Sus scrofa: one gene and its partners. The protein of the gene in region 4 purifies or fractionates together with the protein of the main gene of each other region. This does not show direct contact. Links are inferred from orthologs where the notes say so. Each region holds a gene or a part of one and is shown on either strand. Other genes may lie near its edges.

What was found.
Region 1: the proteins of SP1 (region 4) and PRKCD purify together in Homo sapiens (affinity purification with western blotting; 3 studies listed by BioGRID, with this or other methods). This does not show direct contact. The link is inferred for Sus scrofa from reciprocal best matches to the Homo sapiens genes SP1 and PRKCD.
Region 2: the proteins of SP1 (region 4) and PPARG purify together in Homo sapiens (affinity purification with western blotting; 3 studies listed by BioGRID). This does not show direct contact. The link is inferred for Sus scrofa from reciprocal best matches to the Homo sapiens genes SP1 and PPARG.
Region 3: the proteins of SP1 (region 4) and SMAD2 purify together in Homo sapiens (affinity purification with western blotting; 3 studies listed by BioGRID). This does not show direct contact. The link is inferred for Sus scrofa from reciprocal best matches to the Homo sapiens genes SP1 and SMAD2.
Region 5: the proteins of SP1 (region 4) and SMARCA4 purify together in Homo sapiens (affinity purification with western blotting; 3 studies listed by BioGRID and IntAct, with this or other methods). This does not show direct contact. The link is inferred for Sus scrofa from reciprocal best matches to the Homo sapiens genes SP1 and SMARCA4.
Region 6: the proteins of SP1 (region 4) and CEBPB purify together in Homo sapiens (affinity purification with western blotting; 4 studies listed by BioGRID, with this or other methods). This does not show direct contact. The link is inferred for Sus scrofa from reciprocal best matches to the Homo sapiens genes SP1 and CEBPB.
Region 7: the proteins of SP1 (region 4) and CREBBP purify together in Homo sapiens (affinity purification with western blotting; 5 studies listed by BioGRID, with this or other methods). This does not show direct contact. The link is inferred for Sus scrofa from reciprocal best matches to the Homo sapiens genes SP1 and CREBBP.

Annotation. Positions count from the first base shown.
Region 1 is NC_010455.5:35,298,789-35,303,544, forward strand, and holds the start of PRKCD (protein kinase C delta type), read left to right. Parts: upstream 1-1,390; 5' UTR 1,391-1,673; coding exon 1,674-1,720; intron 1,721-4,756.
Region 2 is NC_010455.5:68,431,635-68,434,587, forward strand, and holds the end of PPARG (peroxisome proliferator-activated receptor gamma), read left to right. Parts: intron 1-1,856; coding exon 1,857-2,104; 3' UTR 2,105-2,313; downstream 2,314-2,953. UniProt on the Homo sapiens protein: Nuclear receptor that binds peroxisome proliferators such as hypolipidemic drugs and fatty acids.
Region 3 is NC_010443.5:97,481,278-97,486,237, reverse strand, and holds the start of SMAD2 (mothers against decapentaplegic homolog 2), read left to right. Parts: upstream 1-2,014; 5' UTR 2,015-2,015; coding exon 2,016-2,251; intron 2,252-4,960. UniProt on the Homo sapiens protein: Receptor-regulated SMAD (R-SMAD) that is an intracellular signal transducer and transcriptional modulator activated by TGF-beta (transforming growth factor) and activin type 1 receptor kinases.
Region 4 is NC_010447.5:18,623,116-18,627,344, forward strand, and holds part of SP1 (transcription factor Sp1), read left to right. Parts: intron 1-2,154; coding exon 2,155-2,323; intron 2,324-4,229. UniProt on the Homo sapiens protein: Transcription factor that can activate or repress transcription in response to physiological and pathological stimuli.
Region 5 is NC_010444.4:69,806,775-69,810,360, forward strand, and holds the end of SMARCA4 (transcription activator BRG1), read left to right. Parts: intron 1-55; coding exon 56-157; intron 158-904; coding exon 905-1,291; coding exon of another isoform or gene 1,292-1,316; 3' UTR 1,317-2,645; downstream 2,646-3,586. UniProt on the Homo sapiens protein: ATPase involved in transcriptional activation and repression of select genes by chromatin remodeling (alteration of DNA-nucleosome topology).
Region 6 is NC_010459.5:51,720,840-51,724,609, forward strand, and holds CEBPB (CCAAT/enhancer-binding protein beta), read left to right. Parts: upstream 1-1,793; coding exon 1,794-2,834; downstream 2,835-3,770. UniProt on the Homo sapiens protein: Important transcription factor regulating the expression of genes involved in immune and inflammatory responses. Also plays a significant role in adipogenesis, as well as in the gluconeogenic pathway, liver regeneration, and hematopoiesis.
Region 7 is NC_010445.4:38,481,836-38,486,064, forward strand, and holds part of CREBBP (CREB-binding protein), read left to right. Parts: intron 1-1,344; coding exon 1,345-1,447; intron 1,448-1,712; coding exon 1,713-1,859; intron 1,860-2,944; coding exon 2,945-3,062; intron 3,063-3,748; coding exon 3,749-3,920; intron 3,921-4,215; coding exon 4,216-4,229. UniProt on the Homo sapiens protein: Acetylates histones, giving a specific tag for transcriptional activation. Mediates acetylation of histone H3 at 'Lys-18' and 'Lys-27' (H3K18ac and H3K27ac, respectively).

The DNA of each region.
Region 1 (4,756 bases), on a different chromosome or scaffold from region 4:
CCAAGGTGCCCAGGAGAACAGGCTTGTGGTGGCTGAGCTGTTGTTTTCACAACAGACTCGGAAGCTTTGGATCATGTCTATGGCTATGTTGAGTAAACAGGTGCAGTGGAATAGCCAGTCGCCAAGGCCTGAGGCTGGAATCAGTGTCCACTTGGTGTAGGCTTGGGGGCTGAGGTATGGGGCCAGGGGAGATAGGAAGAGAATTGCAGGGTCTTTCAGTGTCAGGCCTGGAGAAAGGTCTCATTGTCAAGAGAGGGAACGTGAGGCCCTGAGAGAAACAGTCGCTGACCTGGGGTCTGCTAGTGGACTCAGCTGCCTTTGCCCAGCCCAGTCTCTTCCCAGAGCAGAGAAGAGAGGACTTAAGGATAGGCAGGAGGCAGAAGTGATAACATTGCTGAGTGGGGAGGAAGGGGGAGGGTGAAAACGACCCCCAGTGCCCCCAGGGCACCTCAGAGAGAGAGCCGTTTTACGCACTGATCCAAGGAGGTTTGGGGGCCCCTCTGGCTATAGAACAGCTGGAAATGGGCAGTGGGGCAGATGGGGAGAGGGCCTGGTGTGAAGATGACAGCAATGATAAGGATGATGGTACCAGGTCCTGCACTCAGCACCTCCTCCTAAGCAGGGCAAGATCGCTCCTTTCAGAGATGACGCCAGAGTGCTTTGGCCAAGCTCTCAGGGCACCCGGGGCAGACCAGACCTGAACTAGACCTGTTCAGCCCACACCCAACTCCTGCTCTCCAGTTCCTCTGTTCAGTGCTTGCCATGGGATGGCACACTTCAGTCCTGCCTCTCTCCAGCTTTCTCCTAATCCCTCCAATGGGAGCATCATGCTGGCCCTGCTTACCTTGTGGGGATGGATGACAAAAGCCTTAAATGGCTGTCTCATCTTCTCCCAAATGCAAAGGCTGTTGTCCACAGTCAGGAAAATCATGGGGACTCTAGGAGGAGGTGCAGAGGTGGGGGGCTGAGGCATGGACTGGAGACCCCTCTCTGTGGGGGATGGTGGAGGAGCCAGTCCCTTCCCCAAGCACATGCCTGTGTCTCCCACTGGAGGCCAAATGGACAGTTCTGAGGCTAGAACCGGGAGTCCCTCTCCTCCCCCACCTCTTTCAGAGCTGCTCCTTTGGCTTTGTGGCTTTGGGTGATTTATAGCCTCTGTCTTTGTTGGGTTCTGCCCACTGAGACTTGAGCTCTGTGGAGGTCTTGTGTGGGGTGCCTGCCTGGCTGCTGCACCTGCACCCTCCCCTCCTCCTGTGCCCCAGGCCTGTGGCTGCACCTGTGACCCCTGGCCTCATCCTCAGCCTCCGCTGACTTCCCCTCAGAAGCAGGGGTGGCACCTGGTGATGAGCCTGACCAGCCCACTCCTTCCCTTACATGCTTTGGACTTTGCCCTGGGCCAGGAGGGGCTTTCCCTGCCTCCTTCAGTGGAGAGGCCCAGCCTGCCTGGTGCCCAGCTGCCCTTCCCTCCGCTGTCCCCAGCCACTGTGCCCCAGGGGCTGCAGGAGAAAAAGCTACATTTGGGCTTTCTGGTGCCAGAACTTCATCAGGCACATGTGGGTTCTTCCAGCCTTGTGAGTCTCTCTCTTTGCCTGCCTGGAGCGTCCGTGCCCATGTGTACGTTATGTGCTCGTGGCACTCTGGGTAAACACATCTGGCTGTGCATGAAGGTGTAGATGTCCTGTGTCATCTGTGTGGGCCTCGCTGTCTGTCAACAGAGCTGGTGAGTGGTGGTGTGTTTCTTAGCGTGTGTATTATTGAGATGTCATAGGGGTATGTAGTGCCTATGGTTACAGAGTTTTGTGTGTGCATGTGTGTGTATCCATTTGCAAGCAGGGCTCCCCACATGTCACTGTGGGTTTGGGTCGGTGGGTGTGCCTGTGTGTGCACAAACATGTGGTTATTCTGGGCAAGACCCTGACGTACCCCTCACCCCAGCTCCTCACAGAGGCCCCCTTGTCCTCTGTCTTGCATGAAGGGGCTTTTGTTCCTCCCTCAGGGGTACCTGGAGCCCTCCCCTGCCTGAGCCCATGGCTTCCCTAATCCTAGAGCCGGCTGAGTGACTCAGGCCTGTGCCTGGTGTGGACTGTGCCCCCAAGGAGGTCCTGTACCCCTCACATGCTGGCAGGGGTAAGCATGAGCCAATGACAGGGTCTCATGACCTACCCCTCAGATCCTTCCAGAACCTCTGGCCAGGTGGGCCTATGGCACCCCTGGGCATCTCTCAGATTGAAGCCCTTCCTGACATGCTCCCCTGACACCCACTGACAGGCCCCCCCTGGCCGTCATTCCATCCCAGCCCCTCTTGCTGCCTGAGCAGTGGTCATGTCCCCCTCTGTAATTACACATTTATTTTACTGTCCCCTGTCAGTTTGTGTGTTCCAAGGGCCTGGTGTCTTGTCACTGTGAGTGCCTGTTAGCAGGGCCAAAGGAGGCCTGGGGTTGACCTGGGGCCAGGCTAGGCCTTCAAGACATACAGCCCCCACCCTATCATGTGCAGAAGCGGGCCGCCACAGGCATGGGTTTTCCTGGGGGAAAGGCCAGGTTTTTTCATTGGTTCTGAGGGTATGACAATTACAAAAGGTTCAGTTGTGCTGCCTGGGCCTCACCTCTGATTCTCATCAGATTCCAGTGGGCCAGATCGGCAGCAGTGGAATGTTTGAATGTCCCCAGGACAGTCAGATGTGTGGCCAGAGCTGAGAAGGCTGAGCTACAGGCAGACACACCCAGGTCCTCTGTGTGAGTGTGATCCTGGACACCTGCACAGGGTACCTGCTGGGGGCATGTGAGATAGAGGGGCAGCTGGCTTCCGGGCAAATGGAGGACGGGCTGGACCTTAGAGCAATCTGTAAAGATATGTAAGAGTTCAAGGGGACATTCTGCCTGTGCAAAAGTAGGGGGGTTGAAAGTGAGGCGTGTGCTCACAGAGTAGCCAAGGGTAAGATTTGAGGTGGCGAGCAAGCCAGGGCTAAGCTGAAGTATGGGCTCCTCCTAGGGCAGTGGGAGCCCTGGAGATTCCAGCTGTGAGAAGACTGAGGGGGGAGGTTCTGGTGACAGGTAGAAAGGGTCCTTGGAGAAGGGGAAGAGAGCCCAGGCAGTGGTTGGTCTATGTGGGGTGGGGGAGTAGGGAGGAGTATTGGCTGGGAGATAAGTGCTAGTCCTAGGAGGGGAGCAGGTGTGGGAAACATCCCCTCCTCTGGGACTTGGCCATGACCTGAGACCATGGTTGGTTCTCCTCCCAGGACATGGGGGCTGGGACCCTGGGAAAAGGGCCTTAGAAGGGTCTTGCTATCCCTTCCCCTCCCCCACCTCCTCCTCTTCTTGCTGAGCCCATTTCCTGGGTTGTGAAACCCCTGAGGCCTCCTTAACTTGCTTCCGTCTGGGAAGGCAATGGGGGAAGCGAGCCTCCCAGCCCAGCTGCTACCGCCTGCCTGCCCTGCCAGGCAGCTTCTGCCACACCCAGCCCCCTTGCCCTGTTGTAACCCTGCCAGGACCAGCCCTGCTCCCTCCTTCGATCACACTGCCTCTCACTCTCCTTCCCTCCCCCTGCCTGGGCCTGCTAGGGCCTCTTCCTTTCGTTCATCCCTCAAGACCAGATATGGACTAGACCTTGAGCTCCCCCAGGCATAGTCTGCATCCCTAGAGCACTTAGGCTGATACTGCCCCACTTGCTTTGCTGCCACCACCACCAGCTTTGACTGGCAGCAGATGGTGCCTTGCATGGGCAGATGGCAGGGGCTGCCCTAGGTGGGGCAGGTGTGGGAGAGGGTTGGAGGGTGCCCCACCCCTCCTGTTCAGGGGTCTGTTCAGGGGAGCCAGACCCTTGACCCACCAGCTGATCCTACTCACCCTTGTTTTGTCTGACTGCAGCCTGTCACCTCTTGTTCTCAGCCTGTTCACTCTTGAGTGACAATGACTACGTTCTCATACTCTCCCCTGGAGCCTACTCAGAGCCTCTCCTCTCAGGTCCTGCTTTGCTCCCCTGTTCAGCAAGCACCATTCTGTGGCCTAGGAGGCAGAATCAAACACCAGGGAAGGGCTGGTGGAGGAGACCAGGCCGGATCTGGGGGACAGGGGACCCTCATTGCAGGACCCTGTCCTCAGTATATCCTGTGTACAGAGAGGAGATGGGGGTGTCAGTTTCTGAGGGATATTTTGGCCTGATGCGTTTTATTTTATTTTTTGTCTTTTCTAGGGCCACACCTAGAAAAGGCATATGGAGGTTCCCAGGCTAGGGGTCGAATCAGAGCCACAGCTGCTGGCCTATGCCACAGCCACGGCAATGCCAGATCCGAGCCATGTCTGTGACCTACACCACAGCTCACGGCAACGCCAGATCCTTAACCCACTGAGCGAGGCCAGGGATCCAACCCGCAACCTCATGGTTCCTAGTCAGATTCGTTAACAACTTCGCCACGACAGGAACTCCTTGATGGGTTTTATTTTTAAGCTCTCACAAAATTGTTATCAAACAAGTTATATACGATTGTTGTAGAAAAATGAGAAAATGTGTTCTTGTTCCTAATGGCACCCCTCAGGCTATGTCCCCCAGCCGCCCCCTATACTGGAACACACTCATGGATCTGCAATGTGTATGCTTGTTTTGTGACCCAGGCGTTTCACCTGGCACACTCGGTTCATGTTTACCCTTGTTTGCCCTTGCCCACTGCCCGGGCCTGGATGGGAGCAGATTGCTGCTGTCCTGGAGGAGGTGGCCCACCAGCTCTGGCATGGCCTGGCCTGGCCCCACCTTTTCTTA
Region 2 (2,953 bases), on a different chromosome or scaffold from region 4:
ATAAGCCTTTGGCAAATCAGATTTTTAAGTGAGAATACACAAGAAGCCTTCAGTTAAAGGGAGGTATAAATAAAAATAAAAGAGGCTATCTTGTACAAATCCATTCCAATATAAATTACTAAAATTTTACTTTGTAAGTAGTAAAAAGCCTGAATAAATTAAAAGCTATAGGAGGAAAAGTAAAGATACTCAAAGATTTACCACCAGGCTCAAATGGTTCTGCAAATGAATTCCAAAAAAAACCATCAAGGACTAGATCATCACTACATAGAAACAGAAGGAAAACTTCTCAACTCAGTCTGTAAGGCTAGTTAATATTTATTACCAAAACAGGCAAAGGATGGCACAAAAGAAGACGACTCTGGACCACTATCCCAATTTTAAAAACCCTAAATAAAATATATAGCAAATGAATGCAAGGGTATAAGAAAATCTATTAATATAATTCACTACACTAGCTTAAGATAAAACTATATGGTCAACATTTTAGGTAGAAAAACTTGAAAGCATTTGATGAAATGCAACAACATTCCTAACTAAAATTAAAACCTTTAAAACTCTGGGAGAATCTGGAGAAAAACATATCCACCATACTCTAGTAAATACCATACTTGTGGTAAACCATTAGAAGCATTTCCTTCAAGCTTAGGAATAAAATAAGAATGCTTCCCAGTACTGCTACTATTTACCGTATTAGCATTATTAGCCAATGCAGTATGGCAAAAAAAAGAAATGAGAACTATAAACACTAGAAAAAAAGAAATAAATAAAACTTATGAACAAAACAAATAATAAAAATATGATTATTTGCAGATATAATTGTCTATCCAAAAAATAATTTTTTTAACCCATGATACAAACTGTTTGATTTGAGAAGAGTTTAGGAAATTGGAATAGATTCAGTATAATAAAACCTAACTTTTTTCTAAACATCAGCAGGGATACATTAGAAAATGTAATGAAAAAGAAGTATAGAATACTAGAAAGGAAACAAGTAAAAATAAAGAATACTGGAAAGTATTTAAGAAGAAATCTAAAAAGACCTCCATGAAGAAAAAACATTAAAAATTTAAAAGTAATCTAAGCTCACCATTTAAAAGTTCAAATAAGGAAAGTATAAAGAAGAAAGTGAAATCTACCTGCATCCTCACCTGTCGAAAGAGAAGCCTCTGTTAAAACTTGGTCTATCCTTCCAAAAGTATAACAGAATTTGAAAACTATGTCTCATCTCTTTGAAAAATGCATATGCTATGTTAAGCAAAAAGAAGACAAAGTTTATTTTAAAAGTGTGTTGATCCTGCTGTTTAGCACTGGGAACTCTATCTAGTCACTTACGATGGAGCATGATAATGTGAGAAAAAAGAATGTATATGTGTATGTGTGACTAGGTCACCTTGCTGTACAGTAGAAAATTGACACAACACTGTAAACCAGCTAGAATTGAAAAAATTAAAATCATTATAAAAAAAATGAAAGTGTGTTGAAAGTTGTGGTAAGAAAATAAGATTATAAAACATAGACTCATCAGGAAGGAGCAGAAGTTAAAAATGAGATTTCTGAGTGAGTAGAAATAATGCCAGCAGAAGAATCTGCAATCTGGGAAGTGATTGCCATGCCACCACGTTCTGTCATCTGGTCACACAGATTTAGTCCTACGGGAAAAGAATGGTCTTGGAAAAAGCTCTGATAGTCTTGGGTTTTATTCCTTTTTTCTTATATGCAGTTCTTGCCAACTCTCTGCTTACCTCCCCTGCCCCCATCCTATTTTAGAACCAAAACAAAACCAACAAAAAGTCATTGGCCAGAGAATTTTATACCTAAACCTCCTGTTCTGTCTTCCATTTCTGCTCCCCCAGACCGCCCAGGTTTGCTGAATGTGAAGCCCATCGAGGACATTCAAGACAATTTGCTGCAAGCCTTGGAGCTGCAGCTCAAGTTGAACCACCCAGAGTCCTCCCAGCTCTTTGCTAAGCTGCTCCAGAAAATGACAGACCTCAGACAGATTGTGACAGAGCACGTGCAGCTGCTGCAAGTAATAAAGAAGACAGAGACGGACATGAGCCTTCACCCACTCCTACAGGAAATATACAAGGACTTGTACTAGCAAAGAAGTCCACGTTCACCGACAACATTCTCCTTCTTCCAATTGCACTATTATTTTGGGGGAAAAAAAATCTGACACCTAAAAAAAATTACTGTGAAAAAGCGTTTGAAAAAGAAAAGGTTTTAGAATAATAGATCTATTTTATGCATATTGTTTATAAAGATACATTTACAATTTACTTTTAATATTAAAAATTACCACATCATGAACTTGCTGGATGTCTTTGAAGACTGAGTCTGTTGTGTCTCCCATCACCACTCCCCAGGTATTTTTTTCCTTTTATCTCCTCCCTCTTCCTTCCTTTATTTTTCCTTTTTTCTTTCTTACAGTGTGAAACAATGTGAATGGGATTGCTGATCAATTTCCATTTTCAGTCAAGTTTTTTACTCCATTTACAATGTTTCTGAACCTTGTAACTGTTTTAAAAATCACAACTAAGCGAGGAATTTCAGGACTGAAAACTACTCAGAGCATGTGTTTCTTAACCTGGATGGACTAATGTTGACCATGTCCCTAGGCTTACCAAGAATTCAGTCTTCTTCCCCAGCCCCAATCAAGATTTTCACTCACCAACAGCAGCCCTCTAACAGGACACCAAGGCACAGACAGATACCCACTGGAGGGTATTAACTGCTAGATGCTGTAACACAAGTGGTATAAGATGTGGCACCTGCCAAAAAGAACTTATTATTGAATTGAGGGGGGAAAAAAAGATTAATTTTTCTCACAAACAGATTAATATGTACAGTATAATCCTGTGCCAAATGTATGGTTCAGACTCCAAGTGCTCTGAGTTCAAAGTAAAGATTAAGAAGATTGGAAAAGTCTTGAGTGATCATAAATTCATTC
Region 3 (4,960 bases), on a different chromosome or scaffold from region 4:
CCTTAACCCACTGAGCCACCAGGGAACTCTACTCTGGAGTTCCTTTTGCTCTCTAGTCCTGCCCCGGGATTTTGTGCCTATGAGATAGATACCTTCCAGAGTTTCTCTCAGCAGTCCTTTCCTACCCCAGCCTTGGTAGTCAATTTCCAGAGTGTCTGCTCTAAGGTTTTGTCTCAGCTCTTCTGCACCACCTCAGCCCTTGGCAGCTGCATGTCTATAGTCTCTTGGATTGATTTCTTTTACCTCCCCTCACTCCCTTCCCTGGTCAGAGGACAGATTCCTTGCGTTTGAGGAAGACCCCAAGCTTCTTAGGGTATCTCCCATCTTTTCAGCCCTGTCCATCAACCTTTGGAATATTTTGGCCAGCACTTGGTGAGGGCCTGTGGGGTTGAGTAGTTGAGGTCATAGCCTTGCTCTGGGGAACCCTTTGAATTCTAATATATCATGTCAGCCTACATGTTGCTATTAAATGTCTTAAAAGTTTAGGCTGATTTCTCCTTACCCTCATCATGGTGGGATCATTCCTTCTTGGTTGCTCCACTAGGAAAGAGACCATCTGTGGGCCCCTCTCCTATCAAAATTCAACACTTTCTGGAATTTAGTTACATTTAGCTTATTACTTTGCATCTTTAACTTTTAGACGGGTTCAGAAAAACCATGATTTTATAGTTTATCTGTCTTGTTTTGTTTGTTAGGGTGAAAGTGATGGTCTCTTGTGATTTGCTACATCCTGTTTAGAAGTGGAACTCCTTCATGGAATACTTTCTGATATATAGTCTGGCAAATACCTGATAAAATTTATCTGACCTCACTCAGTTTGATTTTCTACAGTATTTCTCAGAGCTGCATTTCTAAATCTTTTCCATTCTTCTCAAATCTAAACTCTCTAGTTCTGCCCTCAGTGGTAAATGTTCTTATCTCTTACTTTGAGATTAAAGCTGTTGACATTAAATTTTAATTGAGGGACTTGGTAGAGAGAGTAGGAAGAATTTATGGTAGGTGCTTAGAAAACTAGGCAGATGAAAAACTGACATAATTAGCTCTGGAGAAAAAGAAAGAGATGTACAAAAAAGGAAACAGGATTATATAGTAGTTTACTACTAATCTCTTCAGGTATAAAACTACAGTTGGAAGATAATTATTTTCAGGGCTGGAGGAAAAGCAAGTGATTGTGGTGTAAATCTTCATTTTCAATAGGTATATTTAACTTGATACTTCAAGGGGGACCATTGCTTAGGTATAAATAGCAAGAGTAAAGGTTCAAAGATTTTAAAGAGTTGTACCTTGGTGTGGGGAGAAGAGCTTTATTTGACTTTATCCACTATGTGGGTTGTTACTTAGATAGAGAAAAAAATATTTTTAAAATGAAGCTTAATTAAAAGTCTTCTCAAAGTGAACCACATCTCTTCCTCACAGTCTCTCGTTACCTTTACTTCTGGTTGTTTACTTCACACTTGATGCCTTTCTCCTTTCCCCTTGTTATGACCTTAGACTTTACTTTATGATAGTTATGAAAGTTTAAAACTTCGGGGAGATTGGCCCTGTAAATTAAAAAAATGTATTTTTGTTAAGTGTCTTGAGAATAGACTGAAATTCTAAAAACATAAGGAAAACTTTGTTTTAGTGAAAATATTTTATTGCTACTATTAAAAGGTAAAAATATAGTAGTATGGGTAGTGATTAATGGTCCAGTGTTGATAAAGATAAAAAAATTTTCTGTCTTGCAAAATTGTTCTCTTGGCCCACTTATCATTGTCTTGTTTTTAGAAGGATTTGTTTCCACAGTTCATTTAAATTCGTGAAGACTTGTCATGGGTGAAAAAGATAACTTCTGAAAGTCTGTTCTGAAAGTAATAATTTGAATTTCTTATCTCATTTTGTAATTTGCTTTTGCTCCTGTGTTGAAAGCAGTAGTTGATGGTAAAGTTAGCCTCTCAACTGTCCTTTCCATATCTTTTCTAGGTTAGATTAAGGAGGATATTTTCTTAGTGTGGACCGCTGCCTTTGGTAAGAACATGTCGTCCATCTTGCCATTCACTCCGCCAGTTGTGAAGAGACTGCTGGGATGGAAGAAGTCAGCTGGTGGATCTGGAGGAGCAGGTGGAGGAGAGCAGAATGGACAGGAAGAGAAGTGGTGTGAGAAAGCAGTTAAAAGTTTGGTGAAGAAGCTAAAGAAAACAGGACGATTAGATGAGCTTGAGAAAGCCATCACCACTCAAAATTGTAATACTAAATGTGTTACCATACCAAGGTAAGTGTGGTTAGGTCAGAAACTTGATGGCCATCCTGTTGAAAATTGCTTAAAGGAATCTGCAGGAAAGTTACTGAAATTTTGTTACATGCAATTCACCTGTCAATAGTGATTATTAAAATATGAAATCTATTTCTAACCTGTCATATTAATTTTGTTGGACACGATAAGACTTGTTTATTTTATAAATCCTTTTCTTGAACAGCGAGAAAGTTTAATCAAGCAAAATAAAATACTTAGATTTTACTAAGGTTTATCTTCACTGTCTTCATTTGCCTTCATTGCCTAAATGCTTCATTGTATGTTATCCTAATTTTTGTGATTGAGTGACATTTGAATAAAGATTCAAAGATTTTTGTATCACTAGTGCAGTAGTGACTGACAGTTTCCTGCTCCTCTGGTCAAAACTTCAGTAAGGAGTTAACAGAGGCTGCTAACATTGTGACGAGTTATGGCTTTTGTTTGAGTTGCAGCATTATTTCTAAGAAAGAACAGTATATGAGGCAGCTTCTTAGGTGCCATAGTCAGATCCTGTCTTGAAGACCTGCCTCGTATAAGAGAAGGACCTGTTACCTAAGAGGTTGAAGTTTTATTAGTATAAATTTAATCATTTACAGATCATTACCACTGTCAGAAATTCTGGTTTTTCAAATAGCATAACGAGTAGTTTTTAAGTGTTGTAGTGTACACTACTGTAGTTGTGCACATTGCAGGGTTATGGGGAGTGTGAGTTTATAGCATTTTCTAAAATGATTGTTTGCAGTGCCATACACATAGGCTAGCATATGGCACATGAAACCATTCTACTTGACATGTTTCTAATGAGTTTTGGGAAATAACTCTGGATGCTTGTGATAATAGCTCCCAGTGACACCAGCCTTTCTTTCTTGCAGATACTAACTAGAATGTTTCCTGCCTTGTTTTGTTTGGTAATAAAACAAAATTACCGATTACTTTCCATTTCTTTTACCTTGTTTCATGTATTTCTTTTTTTTTTTTAACTTTTATTTTTATTTTTTTGCTTTTTAGGGCCACACCCATGGCATATAGAGGTTCCCAGGCTAGGGATCGAATTGAAGCTGTAGCCACTGGCCTGTGTCACAGCCACAGCAACGCCGGATCTGAGCCGCATCTGCAACCTACACCACAGCTCACAGCAATGCTGGATCCTTAACCCACTGAGCGAGGTCAGGGATCAAAACTATATCCTCATGGATGCTAGTCAGATTCGTTTCCACTGAGCCACAATGGGAACTCCTTGTTTCAGGTATTTCTTAAGTAAGGGTCACTTTTCTTGGTTTATTCTTTTGTTTTAGAAATGCTTATGGATGCCTTCCGTGTGAAAGGCACTGGTTTTAGGCATATGGGACACAGCATGGATGAAATGCGGAGTTCCTGCCCTCCTGAGGGACAGATACACACTGTAAACAAGTGGACAAATTAATGTAATTTGAGATGGTAATGAGGACAAAAGACAGTGACTGAAGGATTAAAAAGCTGCTTTGGATTGGATTGTGACACTTAAGCTAAACTTGGAGAAGTAGCAGGTAGCTGAAGGAAGTCTTCTAGGCAGAGGAAGGGGCAAGCATACAGACGCCAGGGTGGGACATAGCTTGTCGTATTGGAGACTTAATGGATCGAAGTAGAGATGCAGTAACACCAAATGAGCACAAGGCTTGGGAGGAGTCAGATTAGATGGGGCATCAGGAGGCGGTTTGGATTTTAGTCCCAGTACAATAGGAAGCAAATGAAGATTTTTAAAGTGGATTTTTAAATTTAAGTAAATTTTAGAAGAAATTTTTATCTTTATATCTTAGATCACTCTGGCTGCTGGAGACAAGAGGGTGTGGATAGTGGAGTGTGTGGGCATGTGTGTTATAGACTGGTGTGGTATAGTGGTGTGGACGCAGAGGAATGAGGCGACTGTTAAAGTAATCCAGAATGGAGATGCCAGAGGCTAGGCTGGGCTGGCGAGGTGGTGGTAACTCGGGAAGTGGATGAATCTGGTTGGAAGCTGAACTGACAGGATTTGCTAATGAATTGGCTAGGAATAAGTCAGGCCATATTTGTTGATTTTTCATTGTATAGTGTCTGATGTTTCAGTTCAGTAAACATTTAGAAACATAAAAGTCTTTGCTCTTGAGTTGCTTACTTTCTAGAAAGGAAGATAAACTTTAAAAAAGAAGAAAGATAATTTCATAACATCCAGGGGTTGTTCTGAAAGATGTATGCTTAGGGACCTATGTCCAAAGAGGGGGAGCCTTCCCTACTCCATGCTGTGTGGAAAGTTTCCTGCTGGAGAAAGATTGATGCCTGGGTTGAGTGGATGTCAAGGAGGACTTTTCAGGAGAAGCTGAATCCCTCCAGAGAGGCTCTGTGGTATTGAGGGTGGCAGTTGGCCAGAACTGGTGAAGGGTGTCCTGGGAGTTGGAGGTGGCATATGGCAGGAGCGAGAGGCTGTGTGGGTGTGAGGAGCCCCCACATCCTGCACTTAGGGGTTCACCCTGAACCCCAGCGTGGTTGGGTGAGAGTGGAGTCCTCGGTGTTAGGTAAAGAAGACTCCTGAGTTGGGTTAGTTTACATACAGCATCTGACTGCAGTGAGGAAATGGTTGTGAGCCTGTCAAGAGTAGAGGCAGGGAGACTGGTTAGTATGTGGTCTCCCTCCTCAAAGGGTGTCATGTGATTCCTGGGGGACATGGAGCCGTGT
Region 4 (4,229 bases):
TAGATTTGAAAGCTGTTGTAAATACTGTTGAAAATACTGTAAATACTGTTGATAGATTTGAAAGCTTGAGGAAAATGTTATCTATTCCTTGAAAACATGGCTTTTATCTTTTTATCTAGAATGCTATTTGAAAATATCAAGTGTGACCCATTAGTAATTCATAAAGTCAGTATACTGGGTCATGACCAGCATTAAGGGAAAAAAATGTAGAGTCTAGGAGTTCCCTGATGGCCTAGCAGTTAAGGATGTGACGTTGTCACTGGAGTCTAGAAAATTTCAATATATGCTGCTTAGTGTAAGGGTATGCATTTTTTTTAATGAAACCTTTGTTTCAGTTTTATGTGTATGTACTAGATTACAATGTCAAATGTATTTTACTGTGGGTTACAAGTTTATGAAGTTTGAAAAACACTGCCCTGGAGTTCTCTTTGTGGCTCAGCAGAAACGAATCTGACTAGGTACCATGAGGTTGGGGGTTTGATCCTTGGCCTCGCTCAGTGGGATAATGATCCCGCGTTGCTGTGAGCTGTGGTGTAGGTCACAGACTCGCCTTGGAACCTGCATTGCTGTGGCCTGGTGTAGGCTGGCAGCTCCAGCTCTGATTCGACCCCTAGCCTGGGAACCTCCATATGCTGAGGGTGCAGCCCTAAAAAGCAAAAAAAAAAAAAAAAATTAACCTTGGGAGTTCCCATTGTGGCTCATTGGAAACGAATCTGACTGGTATCCATGAGCACACAGGTTCAATCCCTGGCCTCACTCAGTGGGTTAAGGATCTGGTACTGCCCTGAGCTGTGGTGTAGGTTGCAGACTCAGCTCGGATCTGGCGTTACTGTGGCTGTGGTGTAGGCCAGAGGCTACAACTCCAGTATGACCCCTAGACTGAGAGTCTCCATATGCCATGGGTGTGGCCCTAAAAAGACAAAAAAAGAATTAACTTTGACCTCAGATCTTTCCTTTTTCTCCTGTGTCTAAATTTATATTACACACGTACTATTTCCTGCTGAATAGTCTGCACAATTTTGTGCTCATTTCCAAAATTTTCCCCTTAAAGTCTTTTTCTTATTTTTTTTTTGGCCCTGCCCATGACATGTGGAACTTCCTGGCCAGGGATTGAACCCAAGCCATAGCATTAACAATGCCTAATCTTTAACCACTAGGCCACTAGGGAACTCCCTGAATAAGAGAATAGTGCATAACTTTATCTCATTCTCTTAATGTATGTATAGTAGTCCATTGCATAAGTTTATCATAATTTACTTAACTAGTTCCTCAATGGTGTACATTTTTTATTTTTTCCAGTTTTTTCTTGTAAAACTGTCATCATTTTCACATATCTTTGTGTGACCTAGGAATCTATCCATAAGACATTGCTAATTCAAAGTGAAATTACTTTGAAAATATGCATTTAAATTTGTGATGTTATTGCCAAATAGGCCTTTAAAAAGGTACTAATTGGAGTTCCCATCATGGCTCAGCAATAACGAACCCAACTGGTATCTGTGAGACATGGGTTCGATCCCTGGCCTTGCTCAGTAGGTTAAGCATCTGGCATTACTGTAAGCTACAGTGTAGATTGCAGGTGTGTTTTGGATCTAGTGTGGCTGTGGTTGTGGCATAGGTGGCAGCTGCAGCTCCAATTTGACCCGTACCCCGGGAACTTCCACATGCTGCAGATGCAGCCCTAAAAAAAGGGAAATTAATTAATTAATTAATTAATTAACAATAATTTTTAAAAATGAAGTGAGGGAGTTTCTGCTGTGTGCTGCAGTAGGTTGAGAATCCAACAGCAGCAGCTCAGGCTGCTGTGGAAGCCCAGGTTCAATCCCCAACCTCGCACAGTGGGTTAAACGATCCTGTGGCGTAGGTCACAGCTGTAGCTCATATTTGATCCCTGACCCAGGAACTTCCATATGCCACAGGTATAGCCATGAAAAAAAGAAAACTTGAGTGAGAATGAACATGTTTTCCGTATACTTATTGGCTCTTTGTCTCTTCAGTGCCAGTTCTTTAAATTTCAATTATGAGCAATGTCAGTGGATGTGACTTCAAAGCTTTGAAGAAATAATGCTGTAAAAGTGAAGTGTCGCTGAGATACCTGCAGCTGTGATGACCTCCCCTACTTCCCACCTTGACCCTTTACTCTGTTAATTTCAGGTGATCATGGAGCTCAACTTGGCCTCCATGGGGCTGGTGGTGATGGAATACATGATGACCCAGCAGGTGGAGAGGAAGGAGAGAACAGCCCAGATCCCCAACCTCAAGCTGGTCGGAGGACCCGACGGGAAGCATGTACCTGCCCCTACTGTAAAGATAGTGAAGGAAGGTAGGTTGACCCAGCCAATCTCTTAATAGTATGAAGAAGAAAAATTAATAGATTTGGAAGGAAAAATAGGCTTTTTTTTTTATTTTTTGTCTTTTTTTGCTATTTCTTGGGCCGCTCCCGCGGCATATGGAGGTTCCCAGGCTAGGGGTCGAATCAGAGCTGCAGCCACCGGCCTACGCCAGAGCCACAGCAACGCGGGATCCGAGCCACGTCTGCAACCTACACCACAGCTCACGGCAACGCTGGATCGTTAACCCACTGAGCAAGGGCAGGGATCGAACCCGCAACCTCATAGTTCCTAGTTGGATTCGTTAACCACTGCGCCACGACAGGAACTCCTTCTCTTTTTTTTTTTTTTTTTTTTTTTAAGACTTGGCAGTGTTGCAGAGGAATCAGAGATGGTACAGTACATTTGATTAGATAATATATTGTGTTTTGGTTCCAGCTTTGATTCTTTTCATCAACTCTAAGACTCTGAGCCTTCCTAGGTGCCTGCTTGGTCCTAGAGATATAGAAGTCAGGTGATTGTTACCATATGTTTGTTTTGAGATAGTTTTAACAAAGCAGCTTGTAGAACAACCTTGTAAAGAAAAAGAAACATACCTACTGTAATGATTTTTTACAGTGGCCTTGTGAAAATCATGTTTTCCAATTCTTGTTTTCTCTCAAAATAGATAAAAATCCTTATTCCAGGTGAAAATTCTTCCATCAGGAAATCTAATGTTCTACAGAGTAGAGTTTTGACAAATATCTCATTAGGGTACCAGCTATTCAGTATTATCAATGGAGAGTTCCACGTGACATTCTTTTCCTTCAGGTCACTGATTTTGAGAGTTAAAAGTCACATAGTTATTTAAATGCCTTTGAAAAAAATCTGTTAAAATTTTATCCCATTAAGGAGTTCTCATCATGGCGCAGTGGAAACGAATCCGACTAGGAACCATGAGGTTGCAGATTCGATCCCTGGCCTTGCTCAGAGGGTTAAGGATCCGGTGTTGCTATGAGCTGTGGTGTAGGTCGCAGATGCAGCTCAGATCTGGTGTTGCTGTGGCTGTGGCGTAGGCCGGCAGCTACAGTTCCAAATAGACCCCTAGCCTGGGAACCTCTATACACCGCTGGTTCGGCCCTCAAAAGACAAAAAAAAAGAAACTTAAATCTGCTTATTTAAAAAAAAAAAATTTTGTCCCCTTAAAAATCCCCAAAACGGAGTTCCCTTTGTGGCTCAGTGGTTAACGAATCCAATTAGGAACCATAAGGTTTCAGGTTCGATCCCTGACCTCGCTCAGTGGGTTAAGGATCCGGTGTTGCTGTGAGCTGTGATGTAGGCCAGCAGCTACAGCTCCAATTAGACCCCTGCCCTGGAAACCTCCATATGCCCAGGGTGCAGCCCTAGAAAAGACACAACCACACACAAAATCACAAAAATAAGAAATGTACCAAAACAAAAAACATAATTTGAATTATTTGTAGTTACCCTACATTACAGGAAAAACCTGTATCAAAAGCAGGAAGTACAATGGAGTTTCACTCTAACAAAGCCTAGAGTGGATTTAAATGTTTTAGAAATTAGAAGGAAGCTTTCTGATTTGCACCTAAGTGTGATGTCATTTCCGTTATGGTTCCCCCCCACCCCCACTAATATGTGCTATTAGAACCCTAGAAAAGTCCCTCTTGGAAATCTCCATTGCCCACTAATGGATCACACATGGTACAAATTGATTTGGAAAAACATTTTGCAATTTAAGTTTCTCAAAATTTGCTCCATATAAGGAATATTTTTTTGTATGCCTTGAATTAGTTAGAGTCCTTATTTCTTCTGTCTATCCATTCCATCTTCCTCTTCCACTGAAGTCTCTGATATTTCACCATCTTCTGAAATCTATGGATTTTTTTTTTTTTTTCTTTT
Region 5 (3,586 bases), on a different chromosome or scaffold from region 4:
GGGGGTCCCTGGGCATGACGGAGCCCCAAGGTAAAACTGCTTCTCCCGCCCACAGGAGCGCATCCGCAACCACAAGTACCGCAGTCTCAACGACCTGGAGAAGGACGTGATGCTGCTGTGCCAGAATGCGCAGACCTTCAACCTGGAGGGGTCTCTGGTGAGCAGCACCCCTGCCACACCCGCAGTGAATCAGCCCTGTAATTGGGGTATCCCACTCGTTACAGAAGCAATATGTGTTCATTACTGAAAAAAAAAGGCAGGAGATAAAGACAAGCAAGGTAGAGGAAATAGGAGTTCCCTGGTAGTGCAGCAGATTAAGGATCCAATGTTGTCACTGCAGTGGCCTGGGTTCAGTCCCTGGCCCAGGAACTTCCACATGCTGCGGGTGCAGCCAAAAAATAAAAACAAAAAATAGTGGAAACAGACTCAGTCCTGTCCATGCAGGAGAACCCTGAGAACAGCCCATGTACATCTTGGATCTGTTTGGATTCACTAGGGGACTCTTGAAAGTAAGCCTGCACTGTCTCCTGTCCTGTGATTAAGTCCACGTGCACACACAGAGCCCAGACTATGAGTTCTCCTGAGTGTTGGGATGGGTACCTTCTGGAAGAGATTTGCTAGTCATAAAATTGGGGAAAACTCTGGCTTTAACGAGAGGCATGCATTTCTCACATTGCTGCAGACCCTCTCAGAGCCTTTAAGAGGATGCTCACCGATTCATCAAGGGAGGGAGGAACCCATGGCTGTTTCTGAATGACATGCCTGACCTTTTGCCTGGAACCTTTTCATCCTGGTGGGCTCGGGCTGGGAAAGGATTGTCCAGCTGTCTTTCTGCCACGGCCAAGTGGGCAGGCAGCTCCCTTGCATTGGGCCATGCACATGAGCCCTGTGTATCTCCACCCAGATCTACGAAGACTCCATTGTCCTGCAGTCGGTCTTCACCAGTGTGCGGCAGAAAATCGAGAAGGAGGATGACAGTGAAGGGGAGGAGAGCGAGGAGGAGGAGGAGGGCGAGGAGGAAGGCTCGGAGTCGGAGTGTGAGTCCCAGGTGGGGGTGGGTGGAGCTGCACTGGAGGGAGAGGACCTGAGGCCCCATTCCTCCACCATCTGCACGGCTCCAGGGGGACCCTCCTCTCCCGAGCTCACATCTTCTTTCTTCTGGTCCCACCCCAGCTCGCTCGGTCAAAGTGAAGATCAAGCTTGGCCGGAAAGAGAAGGCCCAGGATCGGCTCAAGGGGGGCCGGCGGCGGCCGAGCCGTGGGTCCAGGGCCAAGCCGGTGGTGAGCGATGATGACAGTGAGGAGGAGCAGGAGGAGGTAAGGCCCTCAGGACCCAGGCCAGGCGGGTTACTGGACATCCATGCCCATGCAGGTGCCAGACTCCATTCTGTGGTCCCGTGAGGGTAGATGCTCTGGTGCCTCGGCTTCTCACATGTAAGGAAGCTGAGGCTCAATACTAAATGCCATGTGACTCAAGCCCTGGTCCACGTGACCCTCAAACCAGTGCGCTTAGAGCCAGTGGGCATCTGGGGTTTAGGCAGGTCATCCATCCGGTTCCCGCTGCCCAGAATGTCTGGGCTGCCATGCTAAGGCCGACAGGGACAGTCTTTATCATGTTGGGGGGACGGGAGGCACTGGGAATGGCGATGCCATCAGACAGGCCCCAGCGCCCTCAGCACAGGGCCCTCCACAGCCAAGGCTGCCATAGTGTCACCACTGCATGTGACACAAACCATGCAGCCCAGGCCTCTGCTTGTGGCTCTGTCCTGGCCTCTACAAGGACTTCTAAACAATGGTAGTGGGTTAAAACATACACAAAAAACAAAAAACCCGTAACCCAAAGTCATAAAAACAGAACGGAGCAGACACTGAACATGGGCTGTGAGCGGTTCCTCAGTGGGGGACCCCCTGGGCCTGGGCTGTGGTCCCCACACACCAAGATGAGCTTCGGGAGCGTCAAGCCCACAATGGACAGTTTCATGGGTGTGAGCGGCAGGAGCAGACTCACTCACTGGGTTTAACTAAGCTTTGTTTCTAGCTGCAGCCCAGTGCCTGGCCCTTCCGTTCATGGGACCTGGGCGATTCACTTCACTTCTGAGCCTGTCTCCACAGCTGTGAAGCAGGGACGACCCAGGGCCTAGCTCCCAGCAAAGCACCATTTCATTGTCATTATTTTTCTTGTCTAACTGCAGTAGCAGCAAAACCAGGTGCCCCAGGATAAATCTGACTGTCAATGTACATGGTCTTATAGGGCCATTAATGACATTGTAAACGTGGAGAGGGGTGGCCCTGTTTCTGGAGAGGCGTGTCTTGGCTGTAAAGCTCCTCATCTGCCCAGTCAGGATCCAGCAGGGTGTTCTGTGGCCCTCGCCAGGCTGTTTAAAATGTTCAGACAGAGGAGTTCCCGTTGTGGCGCAGTGGTTAACGAATCCGACTAGGAACCATGAGGTTGCAGGTTCGGTCCCTGCCCTTGCTCAGTGGGTTAACAATCCGGCGTTGCCGTGAGCTGTGGTGTAGGTTGCAGACGCGGCTCGGATCCTGCGTTGCTGTGGCTCTGGCGTAGGCCGGTGGCTACAGCTCCGATTCGACCCCTGGCCTGGGAATCTCCATATGCTGTGGGAGTGGCCCAAAGAAATAGCAAAAAGACCAAAAAAAAAAGTTCAGACAGAAAAGCAAAGATCTTATGTAGTCACGAATGGCCAAGGTAGCTGTAAAGCCACAGGTCAGGAGCACAGGGACAGACAGACCACGATGGTACGGAGCTGGGAGGGCCCAGCAAGCTTCCCAGGTCCCAAAGAGGAGTGGGTATGGGCACTGGGGCAGCCCCTGGGAGAAAAATGATGTTGGGATTTGGCCATGGCAGCACCCACAGCCTCATGGAGCTCGTGTGTATCGTTCACTGGGGAAAGCAGTTGTACCACCTATGTTGGTGACTGGGTGTGTTTAAAGCCGGGATTGGTCCCAGTCGGGGGGCTTGCTCCTGTGGGCAGGACTGACTCCTACTCTTTCCTGTCCCTCTTTCAGGACCGCTCAGGAAGTGGCAGTGAGGAAGACTGAGTCCCGACATTCCAGAGTCTCGCCCCCAAGCCCCTCGTACCAGAGCCAAGCCGGCTTAGCCCTTAGCAGTAACGGCTAGCAGCAGATGTAGTTTCAGACTTGAGATAAAACTGTATAAACGAAAATCTTCCATATTTATACGGCAGAGAAGATGTAGGACTGTTTGTGTCTGGCCCTGTCCTGGCATCAGTAGTGTTTGTAACAGCATTAGCTGTTTAAAACAAGAAAAAAAATTATGAATTGGGGAACACACAACACCTGTTTTTCTTTTCCTTCCCTGGCAGTACTGTTTTCGGCCACAGTTTGGAATCACTGTAGTTTAAGCTGTGGATGCATGTGTGTAGCCGTCCACTCCTCGTACTGTATTTTATTGGACAGGTCAGACTCGCCGGGGCCTGGGGTCCGCAGGCCCGGCAGGGGTATGTCAGTGTCACTGGATGTCAAACAGTAATAAATTAAACCGACAGCAAAGGTCTTGCCTTCTGGTGCACTCATTCCCGGCTCCTGGCATGGTCTGCATGGGGCCTCGC
Region 6 (3,770 bases), on a different chromosome or scaffold from region 4:
CCACCCCCCAAGGGCACTCAGAGATGTCATTTCTCCAGCTCTCTGGGGCGGAGGTCACTCCAGCTCAGCAGATAACGCTGAAGGTTGAGCAATGCCCGCCTGCCCGCCAGGGCCAGGGCTGGGGTCAGTGGGCTGGGGGTCAGACCAGGCAGGCTGGGAGCTCCTGCCTGGGCGGTCTGGACCAGGAGTGGCAGAGGGGTTGGCCCAAGGAGCTGCCCAAATGGCCTAGGAATGGTGCTGGAGCCCACTCAGCAGAGAGGGCCTCAGGCCTACCTTCAGATAGATCCAGGTGGGTCACCTTGTTTCCCCATCTCTGAACCAGGGGAGTAAGTGCATTGTCTCCACAGGGTGAAAATGCAAACTCTGGGGCCAGGTCCGCCCACATCACACAGTAGGTGCCTGGGAAAAACAGGGGAGTCCCTTCTCTCTGCATAGCCCCCACTGGGGCCTGGCAGAACTCCTTTCGCACAAGCCTCAGAAACAGGTGTTTTGGCCTTCTGGTGGCAAATAGGTCTGAGAGTGTAGGGACCAGGGCTTTTCTTTGAGAATAGTGGGGGACATGAGGCCATCTGACCTGGGGTGTGCTATGCCCCCTCTGGGCCTCTTTACACCCTGGGAGAGGCCCTTCTCTCTGCTGTGCATCTTAGAGCAGAAAGCCTTATGTTTGGGAGTCTGTGGTGGAGACAATAATACAACTAATAATAAGTTTTGAGACCTTCAAGGATTGAAGGTTAGCTAAGTGACCTGCGCAAGGTGACACAGTAATGTCAGAGCTTAGCACCTACACCCCCTTCTACACTTTGGGTGCCCAAGTGGGAGTGGGGTGGGGCTGGAGAATACCCGGGTGTGGTCTGAGGGGGCGGGCGGCTGTGCTGGGCAGGGCTAGGAGAGGGGCAAGGTCGGGCCCCTGGCAGATGCTCCAGTGGAGCTTGCTCCAGACTTGCACTCCCAAAGCCCCCAACCACAAGTCTTCGCATTTAGGAGAGAAGTCCCTATAGGCGTGAAATCCTCTCCTTCCAAAAGTTGGGGACGAGGGCAAGTTTAGGGGCGGGGCCGGGCCCTGGAAGGGCTTTGGAGATGGGCTACCTCTCCAATAGCCAGAGCAGGGGTTTGGGGTCTCCAGGATCCCGCCTGGGGCGCGTCCCCTCCTTAAGGAGTTGGGGCTGAGAGCCGCTGATCTTGAAGCCACGGCCTCCTCCAGCAGGGGGCGGGCCGCGGCCGCGTTTAGGGTGGGGGAAGGCGATGGCGTCGCCCCCTCCCCGGATTCCCCCCTCCCTTCTAGTACAGCCTCCAGCCCAGAGGGGGCGGTCCGGGGGCGGGTTCGCGCCTCTTCTCGCTTCCAATCCTGAGTCCGAAGGGTGGGGGTGGGCAGGGGGCGTGTGGCGGCCCCCGAAGCCGGAGGACCCCCCAAGGGCGCGCTCCAGATCTTCAGTCAGGTCACGGTGCCCCACCGCCGCCCTGCCGGGGGTCTCGGGCGGCCACAGCGTGTCCTCTGCGTGCCCGGGGAGGGGTTGGGGCGGCCGCCAGGCGTGACGCAGCCGTTGCCATGGCCCGCCTTATAAATAACCGGGCTCTGGAGAAACTTTAGCGAGTCAGAGCCGCGCACGGGACCGGGAAGGGGACCCACCCGAGGGTCCAGCTACCAGCCCCCGCACTAATAGCGGCCAATCCAGCGGAAAAAGCAACAGCAGCAGCAGCGACACAGCAGCGACAGTTCGGAGCCAGGAGGCCGCGCCACCTGCGGGCCGGCCGGAGCGGGCAGCCCCAGGCCCCCTCCCCGGGCACCCGCGTTCATGCAACGCCTGGTGGCCTGGGACCCAGCATGTCTCCCCCTGCCGCCGCCGCCTGCCTTTAAATCCATGGAAGTGGCCAACTTCTACTACGAGGCGGACTGCTTGGCTGCTGCGTACGGCGGCAAGGCGGCCCCCGCGGCGCCCCCCGCGGCCAGACCCGGGCCGCGCCCCCCCGCCGGCGAGCTGGGTAGCATCGGTGACCACGAGCGCGCCATCGACTTCAGCCCATACCTGGAGCCGCTGGGCGCGCCGCAGGCCCCGGCGCCGGCCACGGCCACCGACACCTTCGAGGCGGCTCCGCCCGCGCCCGCCCCCGCGCCCGCCTCCTCCGGGCAGCACCACGACTTCCTCTCCGATCTCTTCTCCGACGACTACGGGGGCAAGAACTGCAAGAAGGCGGCCGAATACGGCTACGTGAGCCTGGGGCGTCTGGGGGCCGCCAAGAACGCGCTGCACCCGGGCTGCTTCGCGCCCCTACACCCGCCGCCCCCGCCGCCGCCGCCGCAGCCGGCCGAGCTCAAGGCGGAGCCGGGCTTCGAGCCCGCGGACTGCAAGCGGAAGGAGGAGGCCGGAGCGCCGGGCGGCGGCGCCGCAGGCATGGCGGCTGGCTTCCCGTATGCGCTGCGCGCCTACCTCGGCTACCAGGCGGTGCCGAGCGGCAGCAGCGGGAGCCTGTCCACATCCTCGTCGTCCAGCCCGCCCGGCACGCCGAGCCCCGCCGACGCCAAGGCGCCCCCAGCCGCCTGCTACGCGGGGGCGGCGCCGGCGCCCTCGCAGGTCAAGAGTAAGACCAAGAAGACCGTGGATAAGCACAGCGACGAGTACAAGATCCGGCGTGAGCGCAACAACATCGCGGTGCGCAAGAGCCGCGACAAGGCCAAGATGCGCAACCTGGAGACGCAGCATAAGGTCCTGGAGCTCACGGCCGAGAACGAGCGGCTCCAGAAGAAGGTGGAGCAGCTGTCGCGCGAGCTCAGCACCCTGCGGAACTTGTTCAAGCAGCTGCCCGAGCCCCTGCTCGCCTCCTCCGGCCACTGCTAGCGCGGCCCCCGCGCGCGTCCCCCTGCCGGCCCGCCGGCCTCCGCGCTGCCGGGCGCGCCGCGGCCACAGTGACTCCGGGAAGCGCCCGCGCTCCCGCCCCCGCCCCCAGTGGCGCCGGCAAAACTTTGGCACTGGGGCACTTGGCAGCGCGGGGAGCTCGTCGGTAATTTTAATATTTTATTATATATATCTATATTTTTGTCCAAACCAACCGCACATGCAGATGAGGCGCCCGCCCGTGGTGTTATTTAAAGAAGAAATGTCTATGTGTACAGATGAATGATAAACTCTGCCTCTCCTCCTGCCCCCTCTCCAGGCGCCGGCGGGCGGGCCGGTTTCGAAGTTGATGCAATCGGTTTAAACATGGCTGAACGCGTGTGTACACGGGACTGACGCAACCCACGTGTAACTGTCAGCCGGGCCCTGAGTAATCGCTTAAAGATGTTCCTACGGGGTTGTTTCTGTTGCTGTTGTTTTTGTTTTTGTTGTTGTTTTTTTGGTCTTTTTTTGTATTATAAAAAATAATCTATTTCTATGAGAAAAGAGGCATCTGTATATTTGGGAATCTTTTCCGTTCGAGCATTAAGAACACTTTTAATAAACTTTTTTTTTTTTGAGAATGGTTAAAAAGCCTTTTGGGGGCAGTAGTTGATTTTTGATTTTTTTCCTTTTATTTTGGATTTATGATTTTATATTTGCTTTTCTGGTATGCAGGGGGGAGGTTGTTGTGTGTATGAGTTGCTCTTATTTTTGGCTTTTTAGGTGGTTGGGTGGGGGTGTTGCAGCTGCTTTTTCTCCTCTGATTCTCCCCCCAGGGCCTGTGCTTGGAGATGGGGGTACCAGGCCTGGGGTGGGGGAGGGGCAGAGGAGTGCTAGGTCAGGCTTTCAGGATGACTCAGTGCCCCTGGGTGCTGGGAGGAGTGTTTGGGAACCCTG
Region 7 (4,229 bases), on a different chromosome or scaffold from region 4:
TCTTTTCTCTCTCTCTCTCTCTCTTTTTTTTTTTTTTTTTTTTTTTTTTTTGTCTTTTTTCTTTTTAGGCCTGCATCCCCAGCATGCGGAGGTTCCCAGGCTAGGAGTCAAATCAGAGCTGTAGACCCTGGCCTACACCACAGCCTCAGCAACGCCAGATCCAAGCCACGACTGTGACCTACACCACAGCTCACGGCAACACCAGATCCTTAACCCATTGCACAAGGCCAGGGATCGAACCTGCGTCCTCATGGATGCTAGTCAGATTGTTTCCGCTGAGCCACAGTGGGAACTCTGACAGACTGTTTTCTTAATATTTTCTTTAAATTGACAAAGTCCTTTCTTTTCAGCTTGGGCTTAAGCCAGGCAGTTATGTCAGTCAAATTAAGTCAGAGTTGTTGTGCTAGTTTCCTTCTTTTCCTAAAACTATTTTAACCTTAAAAGTGACTCTTAAAAATGACCAGTTTGAAAACAACTCATTGTTGCTTTTTGGAAAACAGTTGCCCTCATGCATCACTTACTCTTGCTAACTGGGCGACTGGGTTGGAGTCCCGGAACCTGGGTACCAGTCTGACCCCACCTCTGCTGATGGCCTGATCGGGACTAGACTGTGCACCTCGCTTTGTCTCAACTTCCTCTTCCTTCACGGTGGATATTGTAGACAAATCGACCTTTTATGTTCTTTGCCTGCACTTAATCTCTATGATTTTATTTTCTGATATGCAAACAAAACCCAAAATATGACAGAAATATGTAAGAGGTCAGTTTACTTGTTTCAATCATGATATTAATGAAGCCAGAATCAAAATGTGAAGCTACAAATGGGTCATTTCTAATTTCTTTTTCCACAGTCATAGAGTACTCATGAGACCAGCTAGCCTCCATAACAATGCCTCGTTTTAGCTGTAAAGTGTCGTGGGAAGGGATCTGCCTGTGAGGTTAACAATTCAATCGCCATTTTTCTGGAACTCCCAGAATTCCTGCCATGGGGTTTATTATTAAAACTCATAAGAATCACTTACTTAAAAAAACAAAGAGTTCCTGTCATGGCGCATCGGAAACGAATCCGACTAGGAACCATGAGGTTGTGGGTTCGATCCCTGGCCTCGCTCAGTGGGTTCAGGATCCGGTGTTGCCGTGAGCTGTGGTGTAGGCCGGCAGCTATAGCGCCGATTAGACCCTTAGCCTGGGAACTTCCATATGCTACGGGTGTGGCCTTAAAAAGACAAAAGACGAAAAAAGAATCACTTATTTATATGTGACTTATTATTTATGTTATCGGGACTTTGATGTGTATATGAGAATTTAGGAGTGTGTTGATTTCTTTTCTTTTTCTCTTTAAAGGAAATAACCCAATGAACATTCCAGCAGGCGGAATAACAACAGATCAGCAGCCACCAAGCTTGATTTCAGAATCAGCTCTTCCAACTTCCCTTGGGGCCACCAAGTAAGACATTTGTTTCAGTTGCCTCCTATCTGAGCGACAGTCAGACATGCAAGTGTGTGAACTCTTGAGTCTTTCTAAATGTGGGGCAGGGGCTATAGTTGGGGCCAGGGAGGGGCCGTCTCCCGTCTCCCTCTGTTCCCTGCTTCCCCCACCCCCCGTCCCCCCGTCCTCCCGTCCTTTCCGTCTTGCCTGTAGAAGAGGTAGTGACGTTGAAAGCCACATGTGGTTGAAGGGCCTGGTCGGCTGAGAGCCCTTCTTCCCTCAGCCCCCTGATGAGCGACGGCGCCACCTCTGGGAACATCGGACCCCTCAGCACTCTACCCTCCGCAGCACCTCCTTCCAGCACTGGCGTTCGGAAAGGCTGGCACGAACACGTCACTCAGGACCTGCGCAGCCATCTAGTACACAAACTGTACGTGGCCACCTCCCGCGTCGTTCACGTGGGATGGAGACATTCTGAGGCCGAGGTGATGGGGCAGTTGAGCGGTTGCGTTGATGTCTGCTTCGGTTCCTTCGTGGTCTCCTGGGCCCCTGGTGATCGTACCCTGGCAGCCAAAGGGAACCACGTGCCTGTTGAGGGGCCGGAGGATCCCACAGACCCTGGGTGGTGTCAGAGCGTCTGCAGCTCTGCCCCGCAGAGGGCCAGACCTGTTTTCTATGCCCCGGCTGCACCAGGGAGCTGGAATTAGCTCAGAAGCATTGCTTTATTTTGTGGCTCAAGATCACAGTTGAGGAGACCCCAGAGAACTGGAGGAATTTGGGCTTCGTCAGTACAAATGGTTTGATAATGCTGTCATGCATGTAACATACAAGAAATTAACAGCTAACTTTCTCCAGCTAGTTAAGTTAAATTGAAGGGGAGATTAATCGACTGGCATTGGAGGGGTTTTTTTCCTTCATTAATTTCATCAAAAAATTTTGGGTTAGAAAAAGGGGGGGGACCACCATATGCCACAGGTGTGGCCCTTAAAGACAGAAAAAAAAATTGCTAATAAATCGTTTAAATATTAGGAATTCAAAATCTTTTTTGGTTTTTTGTCACTGCTCCCGGGGTATATGGAGGTTCCCAGGCTAGGGGTCTAATCAGAGCTGTAGCCACCGGCCTACACCAAAGCCACAGCAACACAGGATCTGGCCTATATCACAGCTCACGGCAACGCCAGATCCTTAACCCACTGAGCGAGGCCAGGGCTCAAACCTGCAACCTCAAGGTTCCTAGTTGGATTCACTTCCGCTGCGCCACAACGGGAACCCCGAAATCATGTTATTCTTGAGATGATGAAGTACTTACTGTTAATAGTAAGATACTGGTGTGTTTGACGTGTAGAGAAGTTAACAGGTCAGGATTCTCTCCAGAGTGACCTCACTGATGTCTTCATATACCGGGCAAGAGGAATTTGGGGATGTCGCTTGGCAGTGTACTGCCACAGAGGCGGTTGGTTGGTTCTCTTTCCATGCCGCTCAGAATGGTAGAAACTGACCCCATTGTCCTTTCAGCGTCCAAGCCATCTTCCCGACCCCTGACCCCGCAGCCCTGAAGGATCGCCGCATGGAGAACCTGGTGGCCTATGCGAAGAAGGTGGAAGGGGACATGTACGAGTCTGCCAACAGCAGGGTAGGTTGCCTTTGGGTCCCGGCACCTGTGGGAGCCGCGGCTGCACCTGTCCAGAAACAGGGACGTCTGTTCGTCTGGGAGACGCGTCACTTGAGGACACTGACCGGGGAGTCTTCTCAGTTAAGACATGAGGTCCCTCCCTGCACAGCTCTTGTCTTGTAACTACCGACTACTGATGTCTCCCCTGCAATAGATAAAACTGCTTTTTCTTTTTTCTTTTCTGTCCTTGGTTGGTTGGTTGGTTTGGCTCCACCCATGGCACAGGGAATTCCCAGGGCAGGGATCAGATCTGAGCCACAGTTGCGACCTAAGCCGCAGCCGTGGCAACACTGGATCCTTTGACCCACTGTGCCAGTTCTGGCGCTGCAGAGACGCCACCCTCCTGGTATGCCATGGCAGGAACTCTGATGAAGTCGTTTTTATCTGTGCATTTACTTGGTGGCGGCCTTGGTTACAGTGCTTGTCCTGTGTCATTGCCGGCGCGAATCCAAGAAGAGGTTCAGCTGTGGACTCACCTGTGATGAGTACCTCGTCCCTGCTGCCTCATACATGCTGTCCCATCCCTGGGTGCTCATGCTCACCTGCGCCAGTGTGCTCAATTGAAACGATCGTCAGTTGGTCAGAACACACGCACGCGCGCAGAGCTTCTTTGTAACGAGTAACTAGTGTGGAGGTTTGCTTTTCAGGATGAGTACTATCACTTATTAGCAGAGAAAATCTACAAGATACAAAAGGAACTAGAAGAAAAACGGAGGTCACGTTTACACAAACAAGGCATCTTGGGGAACCAGCCCGCCTTACCAGCCCCTGGGACGCAGCCCCCTGGCATACCACAGGCCCAGCCCGTGAGACCGCCAAGTAAGGACTGCCTTTCTGGCTCTCCGTCTGCCTCCCCGCTTCTCCTTCTGCATCTGGGATGATTTCTGAGCATGTGGAATCATGTTCCCAGGAAGCCTGTGCTTAGAAAATTGTGGGGGTGGCCGTGGCATGGCCGAGGCCATGGCCTGTGTTTAGAAGTTGAGTCCCCCTGGTGGATGGGCCTCGAAAGGGTGTGCCAGCGTCAGGCTGCTCGGTGCTCTTGCCCCTGTTGACTGGCTTTCTCTGTAAGTTTGCAAGATGATTTTCTGTAATGCTGTTTTTTCTGCCCTTGCAGATGGGCCCATGCCC